Drosophila melanogaster: one gene and its partners. Changing the gene in region 1 together with any one later gene gives a genetic interaction. Each region holds a gene or a part of one and is shown on either strand. Other genes may lie near its edges.

Evidence for each region.
Region 2: of Hipk (region 1) and upd3, changing one enhances a phenotype caused by changing the other (phenotypic enhancement), as found in Drosophila melanogaster (one study listed by BioGRID).
Region 3: of Hipk (region 1) and pan, changing one enhances a phenotype caused by changing the other (phenotypic enhancement), as found in Drosophila melanogaster (one study listed by BioGRID).
Region 4: of Hipk (region 1) and gro, changing one suppresses a phenotype caused by changing the other (phenotypic suppression), as found in Drosophila melanogaster (2 studies listed by BioGRID).

Annotation. Positions count from the first base shown.
Region 1 is NT_037436.4:544,122-549,094, reverse strand, and holds the start of Hipk (homeodomain interacting protein kinase), read right to left. Parts: upstream 3,037-4,973; 5' UTR 2,897-3,036; intron 1,614-2,896; 5' UTR 1,317-1,613; coding exon 1,028-1,316; intron 1-1,027.
Region 2 is NC_004354.4:18,275,445-18,283,268, reverse strand, and holds the start of upd3 (unpaired 3), read right to left. Parts: upstream 6,037-7,824; 5' UTR 5,667-6,036; coding exon 5,664-5,666; intron 3,836-5,663; coding exon 3,386-3,835; intron 3,284-3,385; coding exon 3,086-3,283; intron 1-3,085.
Region 3 is NC_004353.4:88,338-93,364, reverse strand, and holds the start of pan (pangolin), read right to left. Parts: upstream 3,011-5,027; 5' UTR 2,152-3,010; coding exon 92-2,151; intron 1-91. UniProt on the Drosophila melanogaster protein: Segment polarity protein. Functions together with arm to transduce the Wingless (Wg) signal in embryos and in developing adult tissues.
Region 4 is NT_033777.3:26,040,080-26,047,772, reverse strand, and holds the start of gro (groucho), read right to left. Parts: upstream 6,038-7,693; 5' UTR 5,872-6,037; intron 5,694-5,871; exon of another isoform or gene 5,509-5,693; intron 5,133-5,508; exon of another isoform or gene 4,961-5,132; intron 4,954-4,960; exon of another isoform or gene 4,870-4,953; intron 4,779-4,869; 5' UTR 4,430-4,778; coding exon 4,394-4,429; intron 4,259-4,393; coding exon 4,164-4,258; intron 3,464-4,163; coding exon 3,400-3,463; intron 3,330-3,399; coding exon 3,147-3,329; intron 2,770-3,146; coding exon 2,737-2,769; intron 2,305-2,736; coding exon 2,110-2,304; intron 2,045-2,109; coding exon 1,946-2,044; intron 1,238-1,945; coding exon 1,181-1,237; intron 1,041-1,180; coding exon 864-1,040; intron 800-863; coding exon 528-799; intron 278-527; coding exon 1-277. Other genes in the region: E(spl)m8-HLH (enhancer of split m8, helix-loop-helix), read right to left, coding at 6,910-7,449. UniProt on the Drosophila melanogaster protein: Transcriptional corepressor that regulates transcription when recruited to specific target DNA by hairy-related bHLH proteins. Maternally required for neurogenesis; in the segregation of the neuroectoderm. Directly or indirectly interacts with Notch and Delta.

The DNA of each region.
Region 1 (4,973 bases):
GGGAGCGCAAACAACAACTGAAATATTTTTATAAGTCGCAATAAGCGAAAAATAAATAAAGCGAAGGAAACACTGAAAATACAGTCGAGCAAAGAGGCGGAGCCGCTCAAAAGCGAAAACTTAGATTGGGAGACAATTGGGGTGGTAATTGCGTCCGCTGGAATTTTCAATGAGCTCGGGGAACAGGGGTGCGGGGGACCTTGTGAGATATCAAACAATAACTCATACTATTCACAGAGCAGATAATGTGAATGAAGCCAGGCAAGTCGAGCAGCGAAAACATCATCGCAAATTTTAAAGGGATTATGGAAGGGAATCTTCTTCAAGCGCCAAGACAGACATGCTCGAGCATGCAAGCGTAATCGCGGATAGCGTGGAAAATCCAAAGATACCAACCGAAGTACAAAACAAAGTCTAAGAATGTCCACAAACCCAAAAAATACAAAACGGCGACAAACCACCATGCGAATTATCGCTTCCTTGCACTCTCACCAACCAAACCAAAAATAAAGAAGAAAAAAGTTGCCATGGCGTCTATTGTGATAATCAACAATAAAAAGGGGAGGCGCTGGGGGAAATCGGGCGATAAGAGTGCCCAGAAGAGGCAGAAATATGGCACGGCAACCAATAATAATAAATATTGCGCCTAGTATTACTAAACAACAGGGCGCATTTGCCCACGGCGCGTGTGTGATAACGATAACTCAAGCAAATTAAGCGATTGTCACAATAATCGATGAGTGCTATCACCACGGGAAGGGGCAATCAACCGGACATATTACCCATGATTCATTCGTGTGGTTGCTGAAGGTGCTTAGCTAAGCAAAAACTTATCCGATAACTTATATTTATCCGAATCCGATTTACACTGAAAACTGCCTGCATAACATAATATATCGAATTCACATGTTATCGACATCGAATTCAAACCTTTTGACACCTATAGGTGGGGATTTCGAAAGCCTAGTCACAAATAAAGCTAGTGCACGTCTGTAGTAACTATTTGGATGGCTAATAAAAAACTCACCTGTTTGACGTTTTCGCTTGCTGGTTGCTGCTGCAGCTACCGATGAAGTCGATGCGGATGTTGCAGGTTGCCTTAGGATATGCTGCTGTTGCTGCTGCTGCAGTTGTTGTTGTTGTTGTTCCTGGTGACGCGTCCCGTCCGTAGTTGCCGTTACCGTTTGATCGCCGTAGAAGGACGTCGCCCTGACTGAAAGTCCCGCTCCTAATCCCGAACAGAATCCGGATCCCCCGCCCCCGGCAACGGCGTAGTCAACGAAATCGGACGCTTTTGGGGGGTAGGACGTTTTCATTGGCGCATGCTATCCCGCTCGACGTGGTCGGCTGTCTCCCTTGCACTCAGTTGGCTTGCATTGGGGTTTTTGGGTTCCGTTCGCCTTTTTCCGGCCGCTTACAAACTTATGTTTACAAACTATGTTTGTACAAAACGTGGCGGCGAGTCACTGGCGAATTTCGAGTGACACCGTTTGAAATTTCACGTGAATTCAATATTTTAAGGCTTTTAAGTAAAATATTTTACGAAGAGGATATATTTACAAGAATATGCTTTTTTCAAGACAAATACAATTTATGCCAAATTAAAAGAGAATCTGCAAGTAGAGGGAGAACACAATAGCCATTAGCATGGTCGAATAAAATCACGTACCAAAAATATCATATCACCACACTCGCACACCTGCCCGGCATTCATACGTTTATATTTTAATTCGCTTTTGAAACTTTCCATTCAAATGTGTTGTCCAAATATTGACAGTGGAGACTAACTAGTGAACTAAATAACTTTATTTTGCTTTAAGTAATTTTGTAATGCCTTGGAAAGGCTTGTACAGCAACTTGGTAACTTTATGTTTCTTGCACGCAGAACTTCCTCATCTAGGCTCTACTGTAATTGTTTTGTTTTTTACTTGATTCCACTTTTAAACTACGCAAAAAGCGGCGTGAAAGAGAGCAAACTATAAAAACAAGACAAACACATTTCGGGTGTCGAAAAATGAAAACCACAAAAGAACGAAAAAAGCAAACAACAATAAAAACATTTGGGAGATACGCACTTGGCCCCGCACACAAACAACACGCACACTAGCGCACTTTTGGCCCACACGGATACACACCACGAAACCCTTTTCTACGCACTTTGCTGAAAATTCTACGAAGCCCCCTAAAATTAAACCTAATTGGCAACTTTCGTTGCCAAACCCAAAAAACAAATCCACAAAAAACAACAACAAATTAAAGCAAACACAAGCCGGTTCCAAAGTTATTAAATGGATTGCTCAGCGAGTGGAAAAGGGAGAGACAGTTTTGCTGAATGGATTTTCGTTCTGCAGCTGGCGAGTAAATGGATCCTACGGATACCCTTGCCTAATGTAAAATCGAAAAACGTAGCTCAAAAGGTTTTGATGGCCATTATCCGCACAATACCGATTAGTAACTTGATAAATTCACAGCTTTCATTACAGAGATGAACAGTGAGAATACATATTTCAGATGGGGCTTTGGGAAACACAATATCCCTTCGACAATTTACACGCACTCTCTAACTAACGTCTAATACGACGGCTCTTAGTTAACTACGTCGCCGAGAAGAGAAGAGGAAGACGGAGAAATCCGAAACCGGGCTAAAACAAGTTTCTGAAAGCGCTTCTTCTTGCCGCTGTTATTGTCCATCATCTCATTTTGGGTGTAGCCAAAATTAATATTTATGCTCGTTGATTTGTTTGCGGGAAAATTGCAAAACATAAAAGGTTTTCTTTCGTAATATTTCACCGCACAGCACCGCACTCGCACACACACTCACACACACACAAGCAGAGTTCACAAACACCTGCCAGCGAGTCCGGTGTTTATTTATGCATCTTAATTTGTTTTGCACCTTTTTCGCAGCAGCTTCGCCAGTCATATGTATATGCAGATATATATCTTGGCTTTCTGTAGCTGCCACTTCCTCGACGGCCGTGGCTGTATCTTCTGTGGCTGCAACGTCCGCTCGCGAAGCCGTTTGTGGAGACTCTGAATCGAAGAATTGAGGCACCGAAACTTTGTTGCCACAGAGCCGAAAAAAGAGAGCGGACACTCGCCGCTCTTCTCGGCTTCGGATTCTTCCAGGCGCCTGCGCAAGCCCGGTCTCCGCTCTTCCACTACCCACTTCCTGCCGCTCCAGAGAAGGGCTCCACCCCTCAAATTGCGACTTTTAGGGCTCTGCCCGGGGGACGAATCGCGAAATTATTTTTGCTTACTTTCTCTGTGGTTGTTGTTTTGGTTTTTCCTTCCCTTGCTACCCTATAATATCCTGGGTATCCTCTGCTTCGACCTTAACGTAAATGTTTAGGGATTTTCACTTACTATACTATACTATATAGTACTGTCTCTAAACTGGTCTTATCTGTACAAATTTATGATCCGGTATGAATAATTCCAGTAAGGGGTAATCCTTCGTCGGATAGCCGATTAAGTGCTTGATTGCTTACGTGGATGTCCCTGTTCGGGCGCCATCCAAAAGTGTGAGGGGCTCCATTTGACACGTAAGGATTTGCGTCGGCAGCAGAAAGCAGAAGGAAGGGGCGGAGAAAGCCAAAAGGGAGGCCAAGAACCGGCAAAGGGGCACCTTGTGAAATAGTTTTTTTTTTTTTTTGTTTTTTGTTGAGGTGGGTCGAGGAGAGGGGGTTGCGATGTGCGAATGGGCCAAAGTGGTTTAGTTGGGCAGCCGCCGGGTAAAAAGAGGCGCTGAGGAAAACTTGCGTCGTGGACAGACTTAATTACACACATATAGAACGAGATGGAAATGGCTGCGTGGATTGAACACATTTTTAGCCGAGCCAAAGAAAAGGTACGGGGGGTACTTTTCCACCAAAGGATCAAAAGAGAGCATATGGTTTCCAGCATGCTGAAAATAAGGAATGGAGAACAATTCTTAGGAAAACCTAGACTTGAAAAGCGCAACCAAACAAAAGGTAACTAAACTGGTGAATTCCCTATTACTCTTATGTAAATAAGCCAGCGCTTCAAAGAATTGCAATTTCCCCCAAGCACAAAAGTAAAGAGAAGGTAAGCCTTAAACATAATATTATATTTTTGTTTATAATTATGGTAGTTAAGCAACATTGTAATGGGCGGTGGCCTTTGTCATTAAATCTGGCATGGACTTTCGGGGTTTATGTAGCGCAGCAGGATGCGAGTTCGACAAGTCTGTGTCCCCGGGGGTTCCCCGCAGAAGACTTGCTTAACTGCAGCTTGAACGGGTTCTGCTTTCGGTGGCGACGTCAGCAGTCAGTCCTCTGGACTGTGCATCCACACCCTTCTTCTTTTCTGCAGCGACAACGCCACAATTCAATCAGCAATATGGTTGGCAGCCTGGGCATCAATTACAGGCCAATAAAGCTGGGTCCCCACTTACCCCCCACCTCCTAATCTCATTTTCCAACAGCTGTTGGGGGCGGAGACCTGTGGGAGGGACAGCTAACATATGGAAGCTTCGGGTTTTCATTTTTTCTCCCTGTAAGCTCTAATTGACAGCTGCCAAAGTGGGCGAGTGGGTTGGGGGAATGAGGGTTGCGCCGGGAAAACCCACAAGCAGTAAGCCTCACCCCTCCCCCTCCAATCAACTCGTTAAAGTTGTGCAACAATTTCCCTTTAAATGATTTACATAGGAAACCCATGAGGGAAGTGTGAAGGAGAGGGGGCACTCTCTCGATCTCTCTCTTTCGGTATCCTTGAATGGAGGAAAAGAGAGAGAGAGAGTGGAGAGAGCAACCGGCGGCGGTTTCTTTGATGAATCGACAAACGCTGATTATGATGACGCAGCGTCACAGGAGGATAAACGAGTGACAGAAGAGAGAGAGAGAGAGAGAGGAGAGAAGAGAAAGATTAGGAGAGAAGGGATAAGGCAGTTATTTCCATTTCCGCCTGCCAGCTATTGTTCCTCTTTTGTTTTGATAAATGCCAAAAGAGTT
Region 2 (7,824 bases), on another chromosome or scaffold:
AGAATCTATGGATTCATATTTGTACACCCATTTTATATATACTAGTTTTTAGATTAAATTAAGTGCTCTATTTATATCATTAACTGTCCATGAACTTGTAAACTTATATATTCCCAACTTAATCATCATAGTTACCCCAACCCATATTGGAGATCAACTCCATAATCCTTGATTATATCAGCATAGAATTGAAAATAAAACAATTATATGGCAAAGTATGATATTTTTAAGTATTTAACGCCTTAATTACTTGTATCGCCATGAATGAAGGTCGGGGTTATCTTTATTGAATAAACCTTTTTCTGCACTCGCTTGCAATAAAAATCCCCAATTGTAAAATTAAAGTATTAGAAACGGCGAAACCTTGGCGGAAATTGCGATATCCATATCGCATATGGTGTATATAGTCGATCCTATAGTTCGAATTTTTTGGGTTGAGTGAACTGAGCCCACCAGCCCCTTTGCGGACCCCCCCCCCCCCCCCCTCCCATCGCACACACACTCCCCTCATCCCAACGACCAGAAACTTATCTGGCCGGCGGCTGAAAGTGAAAATCAAGCCGAACGCTCGCGCCGCTCTCTCGTAACTGTTTTTTGAGTTCTCGGCTACGCTTCGGCTGGCCGCTCGTGACGTCGACGTTGGCTCTTCGTTTCATTCATGTCGCGCTCGCCGCATGCCGCCGCTCACCCTTTCCCGCTCCCGCTCCCGCTCCCGCTCGCTCTCGCTGGAGTTTCGGGGGAATCCACGGCTCTGTTTCATATGAATCACATATCGCGTATACGCTCCGCGCCCCGTATCCCCCCGATCAACGACCACAAACGGCGTGTGTGTGTCATTTGCAATAAACGAGCGTTGTGAACTACTCAAACATATTATCGTTAAGGTCATTTCTTCTTCCGAACCGATCCGCTGCGGTATCAGCGAATTCGTTGTTTTCCTTTTTTTTTTTGGGTGGGTATGAGCGAATGCATGACGTCAAAAGGCCGTCGATTCTCGGTATCGAAACGATCCATCTAAATATAGAGTTCTTCTATCAGTCCCGTTTGCCACCTCGTCGTCGGATCGGGTTCCGATCTGGGGGTTCCGTTTCACTCTGTTCCGGGGATGTCAACAATTAGTTGGCACAATTGGCATTGACGTAGCCGATATTGGCCAAATATTGACACACATCCCGAGCGGCAAGTTCCCGAGCTTGGTGCAGAGTGAGAAAAGGTGGATCGACTGGTCGAATCGAGTAGTGTGTGATCAAAGGTATCTACTGAAAAACTCAACACGAAAGAGTACTTATAAGCAGCGAAGGCAGTCAATTGTTACCCTCATTTTCTCACAGTGTGATCCGCGAGGCCCAGGTACTTTTCCCAGACTATGACGACAATTGAGAAATTTCAGCGAAAGCCAAACTTTGCTCATCGCCCTGAATAGACGATTGAGTGGAATCGCTGGCTAAGTGAATGAATGGATGAAATGGAATGGCAACTATGATGGGACTGGCTAAGTTTAGCAGAACGGGTAATTAAAAAAAAAAATAAAAACCAAATTCCCAGGGGGTGGCGACCTTTGAGACTCCACTTGCACTCTGAACGCGACTTTTGGCTGACTCGAAGTGAGTCGGCGGTTTTCGCGGATCTTGACCACACTTGAGATTTTTCGCCGCACCTGCGATCTCATAAAAGTATCTGTTTATGGCCACGCCAAGTGAACTACACTCATCTGGTTATCTGCAGATATTACTGTCCTATACGAAACTTTCCCGGACACCAAGGAATTAGCACGTTGGGGCAACCAAGCCGATCTCGACCGATTCACGAAGCGACATCCACCTCATTGAAATGTGGACTAGACCCTTTCTAGTGCACGGCGTTTGTCATACTTGGTCACGTATCGACTGGTACTCCGTGGCAATCATTTCGCAAGTACCGCCATCCACATTCCGGAGCCCACATTCTATATTACTTCCATTACTTCCATTATTCACTGGCCTATCGGTCACTCCGGGTTTTTCCTCAACTGGTCTTGCTCATTTCACCGTGTCAGTGCGAAAATATTTCCGAATTCCCAGACCCCGACAATTTGGCATTACTAAACGGTTCCACTCTATTAACATCAAACTGTCCGCAACTCGAGGGTCTCGAAATTGAAAAGCTCCATAATTTTCCTCTCGCCATAATTCAGATGTCCGTGGCGAATCCAATTCGAAATTTGATTAGCTTCTGTTTGTTGTTGTTTACTTGTCAAAAGTGTAAATAAAATGTGCCGCTTGATTTTATTTTGTTTATTCAACAAATTATCCACTTCAGATACGAATTGAGATTCGGATTGAACTTCGTTTTCAGATTCAGATACAGCTTCAGCTTCAGCTTCAGCCTCAATTCGGATCGATCCAATCTACGGATTGGCCATAAAACGTGATCGCTGGATCAAGGCCGGTTTGGGGGGGATCGCGATGGATCTATATAAACAATAATCGAAAAAAAAAGCGCGCGCGCCGTCAATTTGCTCTTAATCTTAATGTGGTTATGGCATCGATTGCTAATGTTTTCCCTCGTGCTGTTGTTGTTTGCTACCAATGCAAATCGACGGTTAATGGGGCGTCCCGAAATGCCGGCTAATGCTGACAAAACGAACGAGGTGCGATCGAAAAGTTGGCGGCACTTAAGTGCTCAATGCAAGTTGCTGTTGGAAGTGTTGTCAAAACAACTCCATCATCAAGCTAGCACATATGAACTATATACATATCTCAATCTTTATTTCCTTAGTTTCCTTCATACCCCTCTATATAGATTGATAAATTCCCTTAATCACGCAAACAAACTATGGCAACAACTCTCGCGGCTGGCGGCACGATTCCCTCGGATTCGGACTCATATGACCGCTCCACTCGCCATTAGCTTGTGACGGCCTGTTTGCACCTACGCAGGTGAACGGGGCGAACGCCTCACGTGACCCTCTTTTTTATCACCTCAAGCTCCCTGGCAACAGAAGAACCCCCCGCGAGTGTTTGATGTTTGTAAATGATCCAGTAGTTCTTCACATGACGATATATGCATACATATATTATGCTTATGGCATATGGACGACACTCACCTGTTTGCTAGTGAGATTCAGACGGGGCAGGAATCTGTAGTTTCCCTTATAGAATCGCCACTTGTTCTTCTCGACAATGTCCAGAGTCTTGGTGCTCACTGTGGCCAGCTTGTCCGCATTGGTGGTGATCCTGGCCTTGTCCTCGGCCTGGATGCCCCGCAGCTCGCGGCCCGTTTGGTTCTGTAGATTCTGCAGGATCTGAAATAGATACAAATACATATATACATATAGATAATAGTGTGTGAATTAGTTGTGCCAATTTATTTATCAGCTAAGAGCCAACTTTCGCTTGAAACTTACCCTTTGGCGTTTCTTGCAGCGTTTCGCCTTGCTGTGCGTTTCGTTCAGACCCGTGGGCTTCAGATTGCAGGTGTTCTCCCAGTCCAGATGCGTACTGCTGGCATTCAATTTCTGCTGGAAGGTCAGCCGGAAGTTGGCCGCTCTGGAACGCTTCTGTAGGTGCTTCAGGGGATTGGTGGGATTGATGGGACTGGAGGGGCTGTCAGTGGGCGGGGTGGCCAGGTGACTGGGCGCCGCTGAGACGCCACAACCGCCGCCGGAGAGGGCAAACTGGGACATGGCCAAGGCGAGTAAGATCAGTGACCAGTTCCTGTTCAGGCGTCGTCGTCGATCCACGAACGGCGGTTGCGGCTGCGGTTCCACTGGATTCCTGGTTCTGGCCGTTTTGTTACCGCTCCGGCTACCGCTTCCGCTGCTCCTGCTGACGTCGAGCGGGCGGTCAGCTGTCGTCTGTGGATGGAAAAAGTTCCGAAATAAGCTAAACAAAATTTATACAAACACGCAAAGCCCTCAAGATAACACAGTTTCATTTTTTTCCCACCCATAATGGCTCGAGTTTCACTACGACTTCTTGACGTCACATCTTCGTCAGACGTCGTCGGTGTTTAGCATGAGAAAAGTCTAGCAACAGGTTATACTATTATTAGTTACCAAAAAAAAAAAAAAAAAAAAAAAATCAAATACGTATGTTCGATTTTCAGTTATTTACATACTCAAACTTTGGCCGAAAAGAGGGTTCGGTTGGCCAAATGTATTCCCCCTGCCGAGGGACCAATTACCATAAGTCAAGACTAACGGACGCTGCGCGGACAACTGAACTGAACCGACTGGTTATATATTATCTTGGCCAACTTTTGCCAAATATAAACCAAAATTCGCGCACGTGATGGTACGGATGTGTGATTGTGGTGCGATTGTTTTGTGTTATTTTGTGTGTGTTAGTGCCTGAGTGGGCGAATTATGATGATTGTTGGCTGCTTGGGGATTCCCGCTGGACGCACTTATGCGCAAACCCATACGCACACATATAAATATAATCGCAATTGTTTGGGGGGCCCGAAGCATGCGCGATTTGTTATTATTATCGTTTGCGCTTTAGCTACAGCTACGGCCATTGCTAGTGCCGTCTTTATCTGGCTGAAATAATTATTTCAAATTAAAAATAAATTTCTTTATTTAGCCAAATTATCATGAATCATCGTGTGTCGGGTGGAGGTCGACTTGCAAAGGTAGTGGTGATAGTGGTGCCACCGCACTGGCGGTGGCGGTGCTATCTCATATTGTCTGGTGGGGTAGGCTCCAATCGCTCCACACGCCTCCTACACATCGAGCAGCATGGTCAACGAAACATTGGTCTTGCAAACTTTTGTGAAATTCACTCTCTCTTGCCGTGCGTTTTCGCTCTCCGGCTCTTTATCGCGGTCCCTTTGCCCGGACCTTGTCCTCCTGTCTGTGCCGAATCGCTAACGCTTGTAGTGACAACCGCTGACGCATCCAATCTTCAATTCCTGCCAAACACCAGCAACACCAGCACCACCAGCACCACCAGCACCACCAGCACCACCAGCACCACCAGCACCACTGGCACCACCACCCCCGCGGCACGAAACGTGTAAATTAATTTCACATGTTTCGCTCTTTTTTTGGCCATTTTTCGTCAAAAGGGTTTTTTTTTACAGTTGCAATAACTATTAAGTTAGTTGCATAAGTTGTGTGGTTGAATGGAACAATAAGTTCCCAATAAGTTAGAATAGTAATAGCAAATAAATGCAAGTCGCCCCTGTACGATTAGTCATACTCATCCGAAAATAACGTCCATAGGTTTTCAAATAACTTTGGGTTTTTCATAATTGTAATAACTTTAAAATGCTATGATTCACATGTGGAAAAATGAACTTAACATATTGTGCATCATGAATTTATAACTTGTTTTCAATGCCTATCACCAAACAGTGTCAGTGATTCACGAATGAGTTTCCCCCATGAGAGGCTGGAGATGATGGTCCCTTTCGGTTGTGAGCCCTATCCCCATCTCCAATCCCTAAACCCATCACACCTCCTCCTTGGGGCCAATTTCATCATGTGTGGGGTACGTGACACCTCACCTGACCATTGCAGCTCTTGGCAAGAACTCTGCGGGTTCAGAAGTATCGAGCGAAAGACACCTGTACCTATCAACAAACCGAGCACGCACAGGTGAATTCTCTTATCGGCAGCAGAAAAGGCAAATATAAAATCCCCGAAAAAATACGCGCCTGCGGTAGTTACTTGTACTTACCATTTACATAAAAATCGTTGGCTGGGAATTCCGCACAAAAATTCGTACTTGATTGACACGCACTTTGCTTTTGTAACGCTGTTAGTCTTTTCTTTGTGTGTATTTGCCGGAAAGAAGCTTCCAGAATGCAACGGGGAAAAAAACGAAAAAAAAAACTAACCAATAATAAAAGCGATCGCGATTTGGCGAATTTGGCGAATCAGGCGAATCAGGCGACTTTGTCGAATTTGTTGAATTTGTTGAATTTGGCTGCGTATCTTTGTATCTTTATATCGCGGCTGGACGAACTATCGCGTTAAGTGTCGACGCGCTGCCTTCGACTGTCTGCTATGATTTGATTCCGATTCGATCGAAGTCGAAGTCAACAGCGCTGTCGATTTCTTGCCGCTGGAGAGCGTGGAGTGGAGTGTTGTGGAGTGGATTGGAGTGGCTTTCTCGCCGTCTTTGCGTTGTTTTTTTGTACAATTTTTGCAGTAGCGTTTCTTCACTTTTTTTTCGCCTTTTCGCGTGCAGTGGTTATGTGTGTATATATATTTAGTTTTTTGTTTTTGTGGCCGGCGGAGACTGACTGAACTCCTCAGTTACTATGAGCATACTAATGAGGAGGCGGACGCCCAGTCCGCCGGTCATGTTCGCTCCGCTCGAATCGCCAAAGAAGCGGAAGAGAGACAGGGAGAGGCTCTCTCGGCTGTCATGAGTGTGCAATCGCAAGAAAAGCGCTCAAAACATTCGCCGAGTGCCAAAAACAACGCGAGAAAGCCATAAAAAAGCACAGCTGAGCGATAAAAAAAAACAAAAACGACTCATAGCGGCTGGGTGTGGACAATGGGTTACCCTGTACCCAGGGTACTAGCAACTAGGAGCAATAAGATACGCTGAAGAAAGCATGGAAAAAAGCAGAAGAAAAGTATAACTTTAACTAACTTTAGTTAACTTTAATAATACTAAATATGAGAGATAACATCTAAACTAGGCAACAACAAGTACAATCATCCAATAGCTATTCGATTGAGACCAATATTTGGTTAGTGAACTAGTAACAAATGTCATAAATATTCTATATTACGGCCATTCCGAACATAATAGATTTATTACCAATATTACCCAGTCGTAATGGGCGTGAAAAATACAAACGTTTAGTGAATGATTAGGCCAGCTAGATTTCAACACGATGAGAAATACTCACAGCTCTCCAGCGCTCCCCTTTGGGGGATGACACATAATCGGCGCACTGGAGTGGAGTGATTGATCGATTCGTCGACTGGGCCGATCTCCACCAGATAAGGTCGCTGGGAGAGCTATTCACTGTCTCTCCCGCTCGCAGATAAACAAAACATGTGTAATTTGCCTATTTGCCGGTCTCTGGGGAACGAAATGAGCGGCTACTTGGCTCTTATCGAATGACTTTCACTCGGCACACACTTCCGATTCACCGTTTCTCCGGATCTCCCGTTCTCCGATTTCGATTCCGAGACGATCGTTTCCGATCCGAAGCGAAACGATCCATTCCGTTCCGTTTTGTTCCGTTCCGAAGTAACCCCCGCAAATAGTCGGCAATTTATGGGGGTTGGCATGAATTTCAGTTATTTCCGTTCAATTTCACAAGAATATTACTCATACGCTCCGTCGGCCGCCGACAGCCGTCAATGACGACACGATTTGTTCAACCGCGAGCCGGGCTCTCACGCTCGCAGACACGGCGATTCATTCATGATTGCCGACTACGCTCCACCGGTCGACAGAATGCGGATGCCGAGAGGGGGTAGGCGCAACTGCGGGGTGGCGGTCTAAATTTCACCGCGCGCCAAAACCATGATCAATCGAAAAGTAATTGAGCACTCATCGTTACTCATGGCCAAAGTGGCGACGTCTCCGTTTTGTCGTTTACCGTTTACGGTTCACGCTTTGCCGCGTACCATGTACCGTGTACCGCTCACTGCCACTGCCACTCCCACTCGCCGTCGGCCGCCCAACGCCCACCGCTGGCGGCCAAACTTACGGATGGTGATCGGTGTCATGATTTGGCCGAGCTATTTTTAAACCATTGTACGAGGCACACTGGTACGGATCGGGTAACTGCTGCTTTTGATTTCGGCTTATCGTGTTGATCTGTCCAATTGGCGGATATTTCGAATTCGATTCAATTTGATTCGACTCGCTG
Region 3 (5,027 bases), on another chromosome or scaffold:
AAGAAAATAGGTACTATTAGGAGTGAGCATCGACTTCAACAGTTTTACAAAGAAATAAAGGGTTTAACCAAGTAAGGCGAAATAAAATTACATGTGTTTTGTCTTGCTTCCAATACTTAAGTCGTATGGGGCATCTATCATTGGAAAAATTTCAGTTTTCATTGATCCGGCATTTCCCTGTAAAGCGCATAGGCGCTCTTTAAACAGGTTAGTTATGGAAAGTTCCTGCGCTGTTAAAGATGCATTAGCCGAAGACAATGTCTTAGTAATTAAATGGGAAACATTTTCAGTTGGCAATGCTCTAATTGATGGCGACGTTTTCAGCTGATTAGTGATTTCGTTGTCAACATTTCCCCTTATTGCATTCGATTTAAAAGAATTTGTAGTCAGAGTTTCAATGTGCCTTGCAAGTCTTTGTTTTCTTCGGTTTTGACTTAGCCCGAAAATTCCAGAAACCATTCCAGTAGAGCATCCACTATTACTACCAGTCGATGGGGTTGAAGGTGCAGTAGAAAACTCAGGAACAAGTAGAGGATCGGTAACGATTGACTCAGCTGAACTTTCTCGATTGTAATTAAACACAATAGGCAATTGCGTTGTGACATTATAATTTTCTGTAACATCTGTTAAATTTGATGCAGATGTAAGCAAGCGAGAGGTTTCAATGTTAGAAGATGAAGACAATGAAGCATATTCTAAAATAATCTCAGCTGCAGTGCTACAAGGCTCTACGTCTTTTTTGTGGCGAAAGGTTTGCCTTGTCGAATGCCATATGCAAGTGGGTGCTGAATTTGATTCTTCGCAATCGCTTTTAACACTATCACTGTAGGATTCATGAGGGGTGCTAGCAGAGCTGGATTGATGCATATTAACAGATGATGCGAGTTGTAATATTATATCTTCTATTTCGACCAACGTTTTAGGTTTTGCTGAGGTCAAAAAAAAATCGGACTCACTTTCAACATCTGGAATCTTAGAGTGCACTGCATTTGTTTTCTGTGGCAAAATACTTTCATTAGACAGTGCTATAGCAGCTAATGCCATGATAGTATGTGTTGGTGTAGATGTATATTCACCATCTTCCTCTGATGGGAGTCCTAATCGTTGTAAGCTGCGAACATAATAGAGCTCAGCGCTGCTCCATTGATTATATAATCGTTTTACCTCTTCCAGTAAGTTTTCAATAGACTTGCGATTTCCATTTAGTTGTCGTCTTACACTTTCCTCAAGGGCTGAATTAGAGCCATTATTTACTTCAATGTGACTTTGACGTACACTTAACCTTTTCCTAAATTTACCTGAGCTATCTGAGAGATTATCTAGTTTTTTTTTAATGTCGATAAGAATGTTTTTTTGCTCCCTGATAAAATCACACGTGTGTTGTAAGTCGTACCCATCTAGGGCTTCCTTGTTCGATTTTAATTTTGGTGAGTAACAATTTTTGTCGTCTTGTTTATTTTTTTGTTCTGCTCTTTGATGAACGTTAGAAAATTCAAACAAAGGGGGATCTACACAACTTATGCTGTTTTCGATATCTTTAATTAACTTAATATTGTTATTATTATCCTGCGAAGATGGGGTTGACAGAAGCTCATCTTCTCGAAGCATGGTCTTTTTAGATCCCGAATAATGAACCATGTTGAATTTATTCGAATGAAATTCCCGTTCAGCTAGCTGAGACCGAAGAAGCCGAGCGTATAAAAGTTGTGTGGCCAAAAGCTGCTGCTGCGAGCATGGCTGCTGATTTAGCATACTATTCGTATATATACAAGAAAACATTTCATTTCGTTGGCGAAAACTGTCATTTTGCCAATTTTCTATTTCTTCAGCGGTTTGCCAAGGCTGAGAAATTAATTTATTCGGACTTAAAAGAAGTTCGGAAAACGATGCCTCCATTCCGTCTGATCTACTTGATGGTACAATACAAACTTTATCCAAATCATTGCAGTTATATTGTTCTATTTTGTTGGCAGTTAATTGCGTATATTGGTTATTGAACCCACCATCAGGGACCTGGCTCGTTTTCAAATTGATTGAACATTTTTTATCGTGCTTTTTTTGTAGATCCTCATTGCTCTTCTTTTTCTGGTAACTGATTAATTCGTTTGAGTTTAAATTAATTTCACTATTAGTTGTTCCACAGTGTGGCATTATCGGATTTTGTGGGAGCCTGCTGTTAAAATCCGTTCGGTGTTAGTCATTCGTTAACTTTTTGTTTTATATTTTATTTATATTATTTATTGGATAAATTGTATTTCAAAATTTTAAACATTTCTATTAACCTTTAGAATCTTAGTTCACCTTGATGACTCAAATTTAATTAAATTAGTACTTTTTCAAGCACCATTGTACAACTTTTCAACATTTCATACAGGGTTCGTTGTTTATAAAATTTTCTTGCAATATTAATGAGATTTAGATAGCGTAATATTTATGTTATAATCCAGAATCCATGCGTTGTTTTCATTTTTTTAATTATATAGAAATCTCATTTTAATTAACGTTACCCTGTTGCTCGACTGTTGCAATATGAGGTCGTAATTTTTTTTTGTTTTATTTGTTTGTTAATTGTAATTTCCACATTGTGTTAGAGGAAGCCACAATTGTTTTACTTATTTAGTTCACTGTTAATATGGTCAATAATCGGTTTATATACTATCTCCATTTATTCCGACATATTTATATTACTAAATCGATCAACACTATATTAGTATTATTATGGAAACAAAAGATGACATCCTATTTTTAAAACTTATATTTAATTTATAAATACACTTTATATGTAAACACTCGATTTCATCATACACTTCGTGTTATTATTCTACTTGTGTTCTAATGGACAAATCGAATAAAGATTATTTTTTTCATTTGTGTTCATAAATTGTTCTTTCCGGAAATTGTTCAACTATTTTTAGGCATTGATTCCTTTAGATAGATTTTTCGCAAAATTGTATATACTGCCACAACAATTGTCTGATTTACTCTCTTTCGGTCTTTAAAAATAAAACTTAACGATAAAGGTGTACGACGCGGAACAAGAGAGACAAGGACGAGCCATCGGCTCGAAAATAACTGCGTGAGAAACATTGCGCACAAACTTTGTATCGAGCACATGTTTGTAACGAATTTGTAAAAAAAAAGTAATAGATACTATTAAATTTGTTTTTTTTTTCATTCTTAATTCATTCTTAAGAAATAATAAAGTTGTTTAATCTGTATTTTAAAAATATGTACTTCTGTGTAATGTGAATTTTACTGCTGCGTAAATTTACATTTTTACAAGTAAAATCGCAAAATGATGTATTTTTACAAATATTTTACATGAAAATATTCATAGCATCCAATGTTGGTACGACTCTTTTCAAATTTGACTTTAATTTACATTTTTTCTATACGTAATTCCAGATTAAAAGTAACCCATTTTTTAATTTTATTCATATTTTGTGTATGTATGTTAAATTTTTTGGATTTTACCTGGCAACATAACACGTGCAAAACTCAAGTGCCTTCAGATATAGATGGCGCCATGTAATTTCAAATCATATCTACGAATATATATATTTATATATATATGTATGGGCTTCAACAACGGAATACAGTAAACTAAACAATATTATATTAAGCTTGAGTTAAATTTAAATTTTCTAGACCACCTTAACTTAAAGCAAATAATTTAACATTTTGATTTAAAAAATATTATCAAAATATTTTTTATAAATTAGTACTTGAAAATTACATTTTTCGAGGATATATATTAGAAATTTATTTATTCACTGAAAACGGTTGAAAAAATCGGTTGATTCTAAATTAAAGATGTGTAAAACTTCTTATCACTAATCTTAATTGGCCAATTCAACTGTTTACTTGCTCATAATTATGTTCGTTAGTATTAATATGTCTTCGAAGAAAGTTTATTTTCGGTTGTCAACAAAAAATATATTTGTATATATATATATAAATATTTTTCGCTTTTCACAAAGAAGTTTTTTAGACAAATAAAAAACCTACTTTAATACATTTTAAATCCATGCATTTTAAAAAAGGCCTCTAAAGTCCAGTGACTCGACCTAAGAAAAAAGCAAGAGAGAATGCTATAATCGAGTTCCCCGACTATCAGGTACCCGTTACTCAGCTAGTGTGAATGTGAAATTTCATAATTTTTCTGGGATGTCAATAGATATTGAGGAGTAAAATGAAAAAAAATTTTAAAATTGTTCCAAGGCGTGGGAGTGACTGGTTCGGCGGCTTTAGAGCGTTAAAGTGAGCGTGACAAAAATTGAAAATCGATAGAAATTTACAAGACTAATAAATCTAAATAAAATAAAAAAAATATCAACACGTTTTTCAAAAGTGTGGGCGTGGAAGTTTTGTGCGGCTTGTGGGCGTGGCAACATGAGTCAACAATGTGGCGCTGCGTCTTGGTCTCTAGGATCTGTACGGTGAATATCAACCTACTAGCTTTTATAGTAAACAACAATTAAAATAGAAGTATGCAACAGCTAGATGGAAGCCTTTACGATATATATTCTCTTAGTATATATATTTAGTATATATATACATTTAGAATAGATATATTTAGTATATATATATATATATTTAGTACATATATATTTAGTATATATATATTTACTATATATATATATTTACTATATATATATTTAGTATATATATATAGAATACATGTTCCTGATCACTAGCAGAGTAGTTCCGGGAACTAACAAACCTAGAAATGTTAGGTTTCGAAATCATAATAGTTACACTTTTTGTTGAAATTAACATATATATTTATATATATTTTATATTTAGGATATAATTTTTGCAAGGATACAAACAAATGTTACATTTTCAGAAAATATATCTCAACAAATTTTACAAATATGTGTTATGTACTCAAAGTTTAAAAAAGGCTGACGACAGAGGTTTAAAACCGTTATGGATGTTTTTAAAAAATTAATATTAATAATATTTAATAATTTCAAAATTGTATACAAACTAGGTAAAGAAACCGTGCCAAAAAACAGTAAAAA
Region 4 (7,693 bases), on another chromosome or scaffold:
CACCGAGCGGATGTAGTTGTCGCGCTGCAGACAATCCAGCTGGCTAACTGGATTCTTGTTGCCCGGTTGCGAGATGTCCCATACCTTGACGCAGCCCTTGCCGCCCGTGTACACGTACTTTGTGGGATTAGAGATGGTTACCGCACAGACGACCTCTCCATGCGACAGCGTGTTGATCTGACGGGCGTGCCGCGGAATTCCAACACCCACCAACGCGTCCGGCGGGAACGGCACCGGTTGTAGACTACCCTCGCCGTTCATATGGAAAGAGTATGCACTGCAACGGCAAAATGTGTTTATTAATTAATGTAACCATTTAATTAGTGATAAGACGTTTAACGTTCGTAGAAATAGCGATATTATATACTCCTATCTGTGCCGATTCATACATTTATCATCTCCAATCGACTACATTGCACTTTGCATTTTAATCAGTTGCATTGAATTACTTTAAATACTTAATAACAATGCACGACAAAATTCCTATAGTCTACTTTTCGGACCGTAAATTGACATAAATGACTTACGGCTTTCCACCCGTTAGGGCCGAGGGATGTGGAATGCCATTGGTTCGCACATGGGCGTGCGGATCGTACGGCATTGGTGGCGGTCGTCCATAGGCTGGATCTGACGGTGGACGCTGGTAGGGATCGGCCGGCCTTTGATACGGTGCACCCGGATATCCGGCTGGCGGTGGTCCCTGCGGCATCATTTGTTTAGGATTAACGCCTGGCGCCGGAGCAGCGGCGTTCGGTGTCGGTGTGCGTGCCTTGGCGCCCGGTGTACCCGGCTTTTCCATCTAAATGAACGAGATTCAATTAGCTCTAACACTTTCTGGGTTCGACATTTGACATTTGGCTCACATCTTTTGTCTTGAGGCTGGGTGTGGAACGTGACGAACTGGAGCCGGAGCGTGAGGGCGGCCGTTCCTGCTTGATGCCACTACTGCTTGGCTTCTCCAGGCGCTCGCCATTCAAGCTTTCCCGATCGCGCACCTCCATAGACACGTGCTCGCCGTTGGGACGCGGTGAGTGGGATTCCTGCAAGGCACATGTATGCATTAAGTACTGTTTTTGCATTTGATGATAAATGTAATAGCAAAGGTGTGGTTTTTGTTTCTTTTTTTTTTTGGGGAAATTTGGGAGTGGTTGCATTGAATCTGGGCCGACACTCAACTCACCATTTCATTTGCAACATCTACGACTAAATCTTGATCGCTTTTCTCGCCTTCATCCTCCTGGAAATAATTTTGAAAAAAACACAAAAACAATATAAATCAAAATTCATACAAAAACCCACAACGAACAACAGCAATAACAACAACCACAATAGAAATAGTTAGTATCTAAATTTTAGGCCCTGTTCTGGTTTTCACATCATTTTACATGGTTAACAATTTAAAAACGCAAACAAACCATGAAGTTACGATTAGTGTTCCTTTTTTAAGTAAGACAATAAAATCAAAGAAATAAAACTAGTTAAAAGCATAGAAAATGTATATAGTTTACACATGTTCCACACTACTATTAAAATTTATAATCTAAAACAAAGTAAACCAGTCATAATTATAAATCATCTCCAATTTACATTTACACATTAGCTTTACAATTTGTGGAATATTAGAAACAAAATTCTATAAGTTGAGATACACCTTAAACCAACTACTAGAAATTGAAAACCGGAACAGGCACCATTAGATCGTGATGTTTTTTTTGTCTCTTAAAAATTAGCAATTTAGGTTTTGTTTAGCATGATTTTGGGGTAGAGTGTTAGCAGAATTAGACAACAACAATGGGTAAACTACGGAATTGAGTTTCTGGTGAGTTGAGAGACAGCAACAGCTCAGATGAGATGACAGTAATCGGTTATGGCAATCACCATCAACGCGATGATCTATGATACTACAAGTGTATAATGCTAACACTGAAAAAAGCTCGATACTCACTTGCAGTTTCTCATCTTTTCGACGCTTCGAGTCGTTCTCGATGTCCAGCGGCGAGCGTGTGCGATACTTCTCACGATCGGCCGGCGAAACCGAATTGCGCTGCAAGATCAGCATGAAAATTAGCTTGAAATATGCAGAATTTTGATCTAGGGCGTGGTACTCACCAATCGCTCCTCGGCGGCTGCTGGCCCCTCTAGACCCGTCGGCTTGATGTCCGGCCTGTGGTGTTCGGGCGGTTTGTTCAGCAGACCTTGCGGTCCGTGTGGCAGGCCCATGGTGGCGCCCAGGGCGCCAAACGGATTCAGTGCGCCCATCGGCTGAGGTGGTCCACCTGGCACCTGCTGGGCGTGGATCTGTTGCTGCAATGGAACCATGAGATCGTATGAAATCGGGCGTGCGCGTTGCTGGCTTTCGGAATAATGAACATCGTGCTTAGTGGGAATATGAAAGCATTGAAATGTGTGTACATATGTGTGTAAACACAACAACGACATTAACACTAAATGGTATTTGCCATATTTTTATTTTGTATCAAAATTTAATTTATTTATCTTTCGATTCATAAGCATAAGCAAAGACCATCTGGGGTTAATGGAAACAGCAACAACAATTGGCGGCATTTGAAGCGTTATTCAAATAATATAAACGTTGACAATCAGAAAAGGAAGAGGAGGTAGTGAGGCACTGGAGCTGTTGTTGTAGTTGTGGCAGTGGCACATTCGGCGGATGCAGCGGCAGACGGCAACAGTAAACAAACAATAAGAAATTAACTTGCAACGAAACAAACTTACTAAAAGTTGCTGAATTCCATGTTGCTGCTGATGCTGCACAACGTTGTTTGGATTGGATTGGTCGAATGCGAAATCATAACAAATTAGGAAGTAGAAAAACAAACTCAAATCAAATGCGGCCCAAGGAACAAACTAAACCGAAACGAAGTTCCCACTTAACGGTTGCCACATTTATGATATGTACTGTTTCATATATACGTTAGATTTCTTATTTTTTATACAATTTTCAAGATATTTGTTATTCTTTGAAAGACTGTATTACAAAGTACCCGGCAAACTAAATTTCTCTGCCTTTTCGGTGTGGCAACCGAATTTCCAATCGGCCATGCCCCCATTAGTGTCTATCTGAGAATGGCTGAAACCGTATTGCTGCTGCCGCAGAATCCATCATCCGTCCTCGATCGACTTACCCCAATGATCAGGTTGAGCTCCTGCATGGTCACCTGCTTCGCCCGCTCCACCGCCTGCAGCACTTGCTGCTGGTGGTCGGCCTGAAGGAATGGAAGTAGCTGGTTGATCAGTGTGTTCAGCCGCTTGGCGATCTCGGTCTGCTTGTGCATCTCCACGTTAAGGCCATAGGACATCTCGTAGTACTGAAAGTTGGAAGGCAAGCCGTGGCATTAGCTAAGGGATCTCGATAATTTGCGGATCATGACGACTTACCATAACATAATGGCGCTGCATCTCCGTCTTCTCGTTCGACAGCTTCTCGCACTCCAATTTAATGCTGGAATTCACAGGAAAAGTGATCAACGGGCAAATTAGTTGGACGACGGAAGCGAACTGAATTCAAGAACGCAAGGAAGCGGCGATTGTGGAGCATGGAGCATTGAGTTGCGGCTGGGGCGGCGCAGGTTAATCCTATGACAGCGGCGCATATGGCGCGCCAAACCGGTTTGCTCAGCTTTTTGTTTTACTTTTCGCAAAACGCAGACGCAGCATCCATCCACACTCACACTCGCACACTTCCATACGATGGCGGTTAAGGCTAAGGCTTAAAATGTGATTTCTTTGGGGCATGTTATTGTAAAGGCTTCTAATAGGTTTAACCTCAACTTAATTATTGGGGCCTAATCTCTAATTGCGTATTGCTTAACCCATGAAAACTATGCCATTGGATTATTTGAAAGTGTGAAGAATTTTACTTTTATCTGACATAAATTTGCGATCATAGCAATTTTAGTGGGCCAATAGTTCTTAGGGCCAATATTCAATGTAGTTTTTTCTTGACATAGCAATTACAAAGATGACATTTGCAGAGAGTGTCATTATGATGGCAAATATTTCCTTGCAAATCTTTATAGTAAAGATTTGCCTTGTATTCACAATTATAATGATAAACCTTGTATATCCCTTGTAAATATGATTCGCGTAATGTTTACATATGTAAACATTGCCGTGTATAGAGTATTCCACCGGATACTTGCCTGTGGTACTGCGCCTGCAGGAAGTTGAACTCCTCCTTGATGCGTTCCAGTGTATCGGCGATGGTGAACTTGATTGGACCCTGAGGTGGTGGTCCCTATTTAGATGTGAATAGAGGTGGTTGGTGTTCCGTACGTGGGCGGCACATGGCGCGGCGTGGTGGAAAGAGACATAAACACAATTAGCACGGATTCGGGGGTCAGAGGTGGGACCCACTGTCGGGTGAACTTACCCCGGCGGCGGGGTGGCGCACCGGTGAGGGATACATGTTGTTAGGCTGGTATGTTGCCGGCTAGAGCAAGAGCGATAGTTCCGAGGTGGACACCGATTTGCCGGAGCGGAAGTCCTGCTGCTCCTCCTGCTGCGTACGCCGCTTCCTTCCTTCCGGTTATCCCTGAGCACTCCACTCCTGCACAGAAACTCCTTGCAAAACGTGGACTAATATCTATCTGTTTGCCAGCGTTTTATGGTACTTGTTTTTTAGCTATTCTTTTTCTTCTGTTTTTTTTTTTAATAATATTTTTCGATGGCAGTTGATCCGCTTTATTAGTATTCCCACAAACGGAACCGGCACTTAGTGGCACTCCATGTCCGGGCTACTTCGCATTTTGCATATCCTGCGAATGGAATTTTACAACAACATATTTGCTTAGTTATGCTTTTTCATATTTTTGCACCATTTTTTTCGATACGTTCGCACGCACGTACATACACGCACACACACAGGCGCGCTGAGCCAGCGAGACACACGCACACTAGCACAGGAAACGGGAGCGAGGGTACGAGTGTGAGTGTTTACCGCCGAAAAATCAAGCGCACAGTTGCATGTGGCCCATGAAATTGTTACGCAAAATCACTGTTTGATTTTCGGGGGCCGCTGGACGCACTAATCCGATTGTGCAGTTAACCGGGCGGGATTAATCCAATGAAAATAAAACACTTTTCTTTCGTAAAGGCAGCACACTCCGCACAAACAACATGCGAACATATACAGACAGACTGCAATTAAACAGGGTTGCCATGCCGTTTGAAACGCGCACAGCAGCAGAAACACAGTTTGCACATTACTTTGATGTTTATTGTTTGTTATTTTTCCGCTTATCCGCATATAATTCACTTGCTTGGCCCTTTTCAATATTTTTCAATTGTACAGCCAATATATTTTTTATGATTTGCCCTGGAGGCGGCAACTCTGTTCGGCGATACGGGCACATACATAGAAACCAGCGAGTGGCCAAATCACACACACACACTCACTCACACGCGCGCAGCGCAAAAGAAAAATTATACTGTGTCCTATACAAAAAATAAACAAAAGCAATTAAAAAAGCGAGATAATGGCAGTACCAGTTTTATGCCCCGGATTAGCACGCTTTATCGCAAGATGTTTCTATGTTTTGCACTTAAATCTCTGGTCCATTTTTTACAGTTTCTTCGTTTTCGCCACCGAAAAGTGGGAAAATTATTTTTTGTAACTTTTCGCCCGTATAAAATTGCCTGTTTCTGCCGACCGACCGCGAAGTGTCTAACATTCGTGTATGTGTTGGGCAGCTTTGGCGGCGGCGCTCTCTCGCTCTCTCACAGGCACACACACACGCAGCGGCTCTCTCTCCGGCTCTACTACACGCGCACTCGCTGTACAAACGCGGCTTGTAAATGGCGTTCTCGTCTCAAATATTTTTGCAACAATTTCGGCACGCCGATTTTCACCTCGGTAGCACTTGGTATCCTCGCCGATTGGGGCAGCTGGCAATTGGGTGGCTTTTGGGGCATCGGCACGGCCCGTTTCTATTTATAATTTCCTATTTTCCTATCCGCGACACACAGACCGCGTCGGTCTCAGGTATGCAATTTGCGCTATCGCCTATCGATGTGTCGAGGGTCTGTTATCGCGGGCCACTCGCTTCAGCGGCGCAGTGTTGCATGCGCCAGTGTTAGGAAGTGCCTGCGCTGAAATCGAACTAGTTACACTCTGCGAAATAATAATCCTAATGTTCAAAGAACTATTACGTATTAAATTATTTATTTACAAACACTACGGTTGCAGAACAACTAATTAAATAGATTCCATGCTAACACTCATTTTTTGCCATGATCTTGAAAAAAAAGTGAAAAAAGTTCCGCAATAAATACGTAACTTAGATCTGTACATGTTCTTCAGGTGCAGTTGGCGCGCTTTTTAAAAATGAATAAATAATTATTCAGTTTATTATTATTCAGTCTGATTTGCTATTTTCAATCTTGTGAACCGTTAAGGACATTACCGATTCAAAAAACTTAAAATTATCAGTGCTAGTTTTCTAAAACACTTTTATTTTAATTAAGTGAAATATATTTAATTTATTATTAAATAGATATAAATAAATAAATATAATTTATTTATATTTATAAATAAATATTTATTATTATAAAATAGATTTCACTTCGGTCATTGCCAAAATAGATTTCCATTGTCAGAGCAGAGATATATTATTTGATATTTCCTAATTGGTAATAATTTAATTACCAATAAGGATTCCAATTGCCACCAACTAAGGGATTGGTCCCTTAGATCCCCTCCCAACATCCCAATAAAGTAAATTGTTTTGATATTTGTTTAAATTGGTTTATATTTGTTTTGCTAATTGCTTTTTTAATTTTGCTATTTTGTTGCCATCACAGTTGGGCTATCACAGATGCGTTGTTGGTTGGTTCTTCCATTCCCATTGCCACTCCACCCTTACCTTCCTGCCACTTAACCCCTTGTTTTTACCAGGGGCGCCACAAGGGCTGCTGCATGGGCTGTGGCGAGGGGGCGGGGCTGTCGCAGTCGCTGTGATATCCGGAGGAGGCGGGGCTGAGCGGAGCCTTGTCCATTGAGGAGCAGTCCATCGAGTTCTGGATGAAGTCGGCGGCGGACTGTGCTTCGTGGAATTGCTGCAAGTTCTTGTAGACGCGTCCCAGGTGAGTCATCACCGATTTGCCCAGGTCGACGCTCATGCCAGGTGTGGAGGCCATGACACGTGACACCTCGTTGACGGCATTCATGTAGCCATTCTTAAAGCTGTCCAGGGGGAGGGATTGTTCTTCCTGAGCCACCTTCTTTGGTGTCTTTTGCTGGCGCATGAAGATCACCGCTGACTCGAGCATCTCGGCCTTGTCCATGCGCAGGATGCCATCATCACCTCGTAGCTCGGCGACAAGTGTTTTCAGGTTGTCCAGGCACTTGTTCATGCGGGCACGTCGCTGGCGCTCCAGCATTGGCTTCTTCACCTTCTGGTAGATCTGGGTCTTGGTGGTGTATTCCATTTTTGTTTTGGTAGTAGGTTACGTAGTTTTAAAAATTTTTGAAAAATTTTGTATTCGGCTTGTTGCTGCCTGCTCGACGGCGTAATCGTGAGTGATATTCTGCTCTGCGAGGTCCCGTCCTTTTATACCGCTCCCTGGTCCCTGAAATCCACCCTCTGATACGCACCTTTCCTGCCCTCTCTTTCGCTCGCACGGCTAAACGCCGGTGTTGTTGTCTTTTTCACAAGGAACAGCTGCAACTTCG